2 linked regions of the Macaca fascicularis genome follow. The protein of the gene in region 1 purifies or fractionates together with the protein of each later gene. This does not show direct contact. Links are inferred from orthologs where the notes say so. Each region holds a gene or a part of one and is shown on either strand. Other genes may lie near its edges. The genes, in order: CAPN1 and CAPNS1.

Evidence for each region.
Region 2: the proteins of CAPN1 (region 1) and CAPNS1 purify together in Homo sapiens (co-immunoprecipitation; 4 studies listed by BioGRID and IntAct, counting the BioPlex papers as one, with this or other methods). This does not show direct contact. The link is inferred for Macaca fascicularis from reciprocal best matches to the Homo sapiens genes CAPN1 and CAPNS1.

Annotation. Positions count from the first base shown.
Region 1 is NC_088388.1:9,155,166-9,158,273, forward strand, and holds the end of CAPN1 (calpain-1 catalytic subunit), read right to left. Parts: intron 3,022-3,108; coding exon 2,953-3,021; intron 2,853-2,952; coding exon 2,774-2,852; intron 2,146-2,773; coding exon 2,029-2,145; intron 1,688-2,028; coding exon 1,629-1,687; intron 1,242-1,628; coding exon 1,215-1,241; 3' UTR 503-1,214; downstream 1-502. UniProt on the Homo sapiens protein: Calcium-regulated non-lysosomal thiol-protease which catalyzes limited proteolysis of substrates involved in cytoskeletal remodeling and signal transduction. Proteolytically cleaves CTBP1 at 'Asn-375', 'Gly-387' and 'His-409'.
Region 2 is NC_088393.1:43,385,577-43,389,483, reverse strand, and holds the start of CAPNS1 (calpain small subunit 1), read right to left. Parts: upstream 2,347-3,907; 5' UTR 2,255-2,346; intron 1,432-2,254; exon of another isoform or gene 1,429-1,431; 5' UTR 1,417-1,428; coding exon 1,214-1,416; intron 133-1,213; coding exon 99-132; intron 1-98. UniProt on the Homo sapiens protein: Regulatory subunit of the calcium-regulated non-lysosomal thiol-protease which catalyzes limited proteolysis of substrates involved in cytoskeletal remodeling and signal transduction. Essential for embryonic development.

The sequences.
Region 1 (3,108 bases):
TGGTAAGAAAAATCTCGGATCCCGGAAGGGCCTGGAGGGGCTTATATAAGTGCAGGTGTCTGGGTCACAGGGGCTCCCCACAGAAGGACCTGAAGGCGGCTCCGCGCTCCGGGGAGCTCCCTGGGGGACTGGGTGTGTGCTAAGTAGAGGTTTGAGTTTCAGCCAGAGCCTCACCTCAATGGGCTGAAGTGTGCAAGAAAGGTAGGGGTCAGGCCTCCTGGGCGGCGGGGAGGGCATGTAGGATCAGCAGAGTCATGTGGGACCTCAGCTGTGTGGCCCTGTCCCTGCAGCTGGGGCCCCTCCTTCCCAACCTCCCAGGGCCAGGGGTAGCCTGGCCCAGATACCCAGTACTCCAGTAGGGGTTCAGGCTTCAGGTCAAGGGGAAAGAGATGGAAGGGTTGGAGGGGAGGGGTGAGCTGAGGCCACGAGCTGCCCCCATGGGCCGGGGCCTGCAGGTGCCCTCCAGGCAGTAGACTGGGGAGAAACAAGTCACAGACAGATGTGGGGCCTTTTCCTTTATTATTTGGGGTTCCTCTATATGGAACATGGGACCTCCCCACTCCAAGCTTAGTGCCTCTGGCACCCCCATAACCAGTACACAAGTCCCTGAAGAGTCCCCTTTAAAATCACTAATATAAAAAAGGAGCGAAGGAGGGAAGGCCGACCGCCCACAGATTGGGCAGCTCCTGGTCGGCAACAGGGCCAGGGAGGGACAGAGGGGGCACTGGCTTTGGCACAGGAAGGCACAGGCGTTCCCAGCCCCGGGGCCTCCCCGAGCTAGGAGGCGGCTCCACATGCCTGGACTGCAGACCGTGTAGAGCTAGTGGTTACAGTTTACAGTCTGCAGGCAAGGCCCGGCCGGTGCTGCTGAGTGGGTGGCCTCTGAAGTAAGGAGAGGGGACACATCAGGATGCTGGGGAAACCTGGGGCTGTCCCGAGGCAGGAACAAGCGAAAGCTGCCTTCCTGGCTTGGCAATGGAAGGGGCCCAGGGAGTCCATCCCGAGCCCATAGCTGGCGCAGGCAGGGGCCACACAGCTCTGCCCAGAGCAGATGAACGATGGTGGCTGGGAGGAGAGGGGACAGGAGGACGAGGCTGCCTCTCTGCTCCAAGGAAGGCACTTGCAGCTGGCGTGGCCTGGTGTTGTGTGGCAGGAGGCATGGCTTGGCAGACGAGGAGGGAGGGGAGCACGGCAAGGGGGACCGAGTCCCTGCCTCATGCAAACATGGTCAGCTGCAACCACTGCGGGAGAGCAGGCAGGTCAGCCGGGGCCGCAGAAATGGCCGCCTGGCTTCTTCCCCACCCAAACCCCAGGTCCAGCCCCCAACTCCACGGCTCAGGAGCCACCTCAGGGACCTCATGAAGGGGCTACTTTCTTACCTCCTCCACCCCCAGGAAACCAGAGTGCTGCTCCCATAGAGGCCTCCAAAGGCCTGGGTCTCCCCTCCTGCTCCTTTCCCAGAATCCAGACACCCCCACCCCAGCCTTTCAGGACTCAGGGGGCCTGGACTTCAGGGTTGCCTCTGGGGCTCAGGCTCATTTCCAGGAAAGGACAGGGAACACTGGCCAGATAAGAAAACTCGATCGCCTGGACCTCTTCCCCCACCATGGGCCCGGGGAGGTTCCCACCTTAAACAAGTCAAACGTCACAACTCCATCCAGATCTGTGTCCAGAGTCTTGAAAAATCCTGTGTGTTCAAGAAAAGGTGATACAGGGCTGAAAACTCAGTGGGACATTCACGCAGGGCCAGGCCTAGCCCCCTTCCTGCCTGGTCCCTCTCTACCTCCCCACAGTACCCCAAGCTGACACCCCTTGAACCTGGGAAGCTTCACCCCTTCCAGCTGCCTGAGAAGCTGCCATCAACTCCCTCCCTCCCCAACTCTCCTGGCACTCAGCCAGGGCCCCCCAAACCCAGAACCAGGCCTCTCTGGCACACATCCACAGCACTGGCCTGTATCTGCTAATTCACCCATCTGTCATTCCCCCCAGCTCCTTGGTGACGCGTTTGGGACAGAGCTGGACACTCACGGAACATGGTCTCTAGCCGCACCAGGCAGCACACGAAATTGTCAAAGTCGACCGCCAGGTCGGGCTCTGAGTAGCGGGTGATGATGAGCTCATAAAGCTTTTTGTTGAGCTTGAAGCCTGGTCCAGGAGAGTGAGTGAAGGTCAGGGAGGCGCAGCCCCTGCCCAACAGGATGGGGAAGGGGTTGAGTCCCTAGGAGGGGGCTGGAGCTAGGCAGGGTGCTTGGCGCCTTTTCTTCTCCAGAAGGGGCATGAAGGCCTCCTGGGCAGAGCCAGTAGCTATGAGGGGCTGGGCAAGTGAGTGCCGGTCTCTGGGCCCAGGTCATGCCAGGGAATCAGGAGTGGGCCAGTGAGGGCTCAGGGGTCCAGCTTAGTTTGTGCTGAATGCCCTGGCCTTGTGCTTAAGCGGGCTGGGGTGAGTGAGCCCTGCATCTCCCTCACTGGAGGCTCTGCAGCCTGGCTCTGCCCCTGCTGGCTGTGAGGCCTGAAGTCAGTCACTTTCCTTCTCTGAGCTTCTCTTTTGTCATGTGCACAGTGGGGATGGTAAAAGACACTAGCCTCGTTAGGCTGCAGAGAGGAAGGAAGGAAGGGAACCCAGTAACGCACTTCGCTCAGTAACTGCGGGGAAAAGGACAAGATGGCTGTTACCACGTCACCACCAGCACCATGGGGACAAGGGCCTGGGGCATAGGAGCAGTGGGGCTACCGGTCCCAGGCCCCACAGGTGCCATCAGCCTTGGGGTCTCACCTGCCGACTCGATGGCCATCCGCATCTCATAGGCACTCATGCTGCCCGACTTGTCCAGGTCAAACTTCCGGAAGATGGACTGGGGTGGGGACAGAGGGTGAGAGCCAGGCTGAGTCACCCGGCCCTTCCCGCCGGCCTGGCCCGCACCTACACGACTGAGGTGAGTAGGGACAACCTACCAGGTAATTCCGGATGCGGTTCCACAGGATGTTGAACTCCACCAGGCCCAGCTTCCCATTGCCGTCACGCTGGGTGGCCGTTAAGAAGGAAATTCCACCACTTAGACCAGGCATGGGAGAGAGTGGGCAACTGTGCGGAACGGGAGACAGCCGCAG
Region 2 (3,907 bases), on another chromosome or scaffold:
AAGAAGGGGAGGAAGGTGGGACTTCTCTACAGGAACAGGAATGGGACCTCGAAGAGGCCTTGGCAGGAGAAGGGGGTCTGGTTGCAGAGTGGGCTTACCGGGGGCTCCGGGTTGTATTGCGCAGCCGCCTCGCTGCGAAGAGATAAGGGGGAGGGGTTAGTGTCGGGGGCGGGGCCTCCAACGGGCAGTACTACAGAACCATCAGCCCCAACGCTCCAGATGTCAGCCGCTATCTTCCTTACTTGGTTGCTGTGCCCTTCATCTGTTCTTGTCCTCATCTGTCCCAATCCACATGGCCCTGGTCGTGCCCCTCTTCTCCCTTCCTCAGGCCAACCCCACCCTTCAGGAGACCCAGAGATCCGTCCCCTGGGAGGCTCCACTCCTGCCAGGCACACCTACCCAGTGGCAGATTCCAGTCATCTCGGCCACCCTCAACCTAAAAATCCCACACAGAATCAAAAACCCCCGCCCCTTGGAGGGCTCACTTCATAGAGGCTCTGCCCCAGCTTCCCAAGGTCTTATCCTCCTTAGGTGCCATCTGCCCAAGACTCTACTCCATGGCCCCCTTCCTAAACACCTGTCTTCCCAACATCCTACCCCAGCCATTGGTCCCCGTCCCTTCAAGGGATCACTGCTCAGTGGCCATGACTAATTAGGCCAACCTGCCCTACCCCTACCAGGGCATTTTTCTCCATTAATCCCGCCAGTTCCCAGCAAGCCCAGCCCATTCTGGGCTATTTCCTCTATCCCATTAGGTCTTGCTTTCTCCTGGGCTCACCTCCTCATTAACCCACCTAAAACCTCTGACCACACTCATAAGTCAAGCCCCGACCGTAAAATGTCACTCAGACGCATTGGCTCCGCCCCTTTAACGTTCATCTCCAGGTTAGCCAATGCAGGCCGGGCCCAGACCCATAAGCCCCACCCTCCAAAACTCCACATCGGTCCCCTCAGGACCACATTGTCCTGGTCCCACACAATCAGACTACTCCCGTATCAAGCCCCGCTCCCAAGGACTGATATCCGCCTCATTGGGGTCCACCCCCTTATAACAGGACTCTCAAACTAGGCCACCCCGGCCTAATTCAGGTACCCAGGTTAGCCTCCAGGTTAATCCTATTATTGTTAGACCACGCCCCTCCCGGACCACGCCCCCTGAGGCACCTCCCATTCACACTTCCAGGCCCCGCCCCTCCGATAGTCGCCGCCTTACCTGATGGCGCTGATGACTCCGCCTAGGATGCGCATGGCAGTTCCACCGCCACCGCCGCCTCCGCCGCCGCCTCCACCACCGCCGCCGCCGCCCCCGGCCCCGCTGATCAGGCCTCCAAGCACATTCCCCAGGCCCCCACCCAGGCCCCCGCCTGCCCCGCCGCCGCCGCCGCCGCCCTTCAAGAACGAGTTAACCAGGAACATGGCTGCGACTCACTGCTGGGGGGAAAAAAGGGGACCAGTGGGTGCTTCGCCCCTGAGCCCACACCCTCCCCTCAAACACGCATTTCCGGCAGCTGGACACGGGAGAAGGGATCTGAGGCCTCCGGATGGGGGTCTGAGTTTGCGAGGGCGGGTTGTCCTCGCAAGGTTTGCAACCTCCTCGGGTCTAAAAGGCACCCGTGGGCTTGAGGGAGCCTGGACTGGGTGCACGCGTTAACGGGAGGGTGTAGGTCTGGTGGGGGTTCTCTTGGTGGGGACCCCAAGTTGGCGTAAGGCGTGCCCGACGTGTCTGGGCGCTAGAATGTGAGATCCAGAGCCCAGACTGAATGTAAAGGTCCTTGGCGGGTCATGGGCGCGGAGCAAACATCCACCGCCTAAAGGGCCCCAGGGCGGGGTTTAGGAAATCCTAAATGTGGGCTTGAGAATTCAGGTATTCCCAGCGGCAGGATTCCAGTGTCACCTCTGGCTTTGTGGGCTCGGGTCTAAGATCGTGGCTGTGAGCCCTGGGTTCCCGGATAATGGGGTCCCTCGCTGGAACTGGGGGCACAGATCTACGATCGTGGTTCAAGACACCCCAAGGAAGAATTCACAGGGTATCTCTGAAACCTATGGGCCTGTATTTTGGATCATGAGACAGAGGGTGGAGAAGTAGGGGACGTCCCCGGGACGGCATGAAAGGGTGTCGAACAGGTCTGAGGGTTCGAATCTGAGACCATGGATCTGGGGGGCTCCTGAGGCCGAGACTTCACGGTTCGCCAGGTCTGGGGGCCGCCAAAGCCGGAATTGCGGGGTGCGGAGGGGGTACGGGCTGGGCGCTTACCACCTCACGCGTCCAAAGGTCTGGGAGTCCGTTCCGCTGCCGCTCCCGGGCCTCCCGCAGCGTCCGGCTCCTGAGGGCGGGGCCGGTGACTCAGGCCGCAACTCTCGGGTCTGACACTGCACCGCGGCCCGGCTGTCTCCCGCGCGGTCCTAGAGCCGAAGCGGACATTGCGCATGCGCACCCCACATCGCCCTGCTAGCGGGACCCGGATTTGGGCCCCGCCCTACACGTTTCCAGCGCCGGAGGTCTTAACCCCGCCCTGACTCGGTAGGCTGGGGTCTTCCCGACACCCCTCAGGTCTGGGTGCAGGCGCCGGGTGATGAGAACTCGGAGGAGACCCACACCCCCCCAGTGTCGTAGTGTGACAGCCCCTAGGGCCTGCCAATATCCTTCCAGGGTGGCAGTTTTCGGTCCGCTCACTAAGGGACTCCGCACGGGCCCTTTCCAGGTGTTGTCGCGACAAACACCTCCTGGAGGCCTGTAGTATGCTTTGGCTCACACGCAGGAGGACAATCGCCCGTGTCTGTGGCGAGGACTGAGGCTGGAGTGCCTTTCCCAGTGCCTGCAGCAGCCCGGATGGCAGTCAAACCGCAGGCAGCGCAGGCGCCGCCTCCCAGGCGAACCTTACCACGTCCCGCCCCAGTCAGGGGCCACATGAATCATTCCTTCCTGGACTGGCCCAAAGGGTGTCCTCAGTATGCTAGTGTCTAAAGAAGGCCCCAGACACAGGAAGATTCCTTTGGCGGCGGCCGGGTTTCTTTATTTACTTAAAAAATATTGTTGTTTTTACGTAATAGAGACGGAGGTCTAGCCATGTTGCTCAGGCTGCTCTTGAACTCCGGGCCTCAAGCCATCTCTGCCCTCAAGCCATCCTCCTGCCTCAGCTTCCCAAAGTACTGGGAGGTACTGGGAATACAGGTATGGGCTACCGGCCTTTTTTTGATTTAATTTAATTTTTAACAATATTGTTTTTACATAGCCTGGTTTTTTTCTTTCTTTTCTTTTTTTTTTTTTTTGAGACAGCATCTTGCTCTGTTGCCCAGGCTGGAGTGCAATGGCGCCATCTTGGCTCACTGCAGTCTCCGCCTCCCAGGTTCAAGCGATTCTCCTGCCTCAACCTCCCGAGTAGCTAGGATTACAGGCGTGCACCACCACGCCCAGCTAATTTTTGTATTTTTGGTAGAGACGGGGTTTCGCCATGTTGACCAGGCTAGTCTCAAACTCCTGATCTTAGGTGATCCACCCGCCTCGGCCTGCCAAAGTGCTGGGATTACAGGCGTGAGCCACAGGTGTCCAGTACTTTTTCAGGACTCCTCAGGGGCAGCTAAATATGGCCCCCAGGCAGGCTGGTTGGCTCTTAGTCCCTACCCTGGAGGCTGGCTAGGCTTGAGTTGAATCCTGGCTATGCCCTGTAATAACTGCACAACCCCAAAACAGTGACTTGATATTCCTGAGCAGCAATTTTCTCATCTGTAAAATGTGATCATGGGTTGCTCCATACCACTAGGCCCCCTATCAAAATTAAATGATATCGGCAGAGCACGGTGGCTCAAGCCTGTAATCCCAGCACTTTGGGAGGCCGAGACTCGTGGATCACGAGGTCAGGAGATTGAGATCATCCTGGCTAACCCAGTGAAACCCCGTCTGTACTAA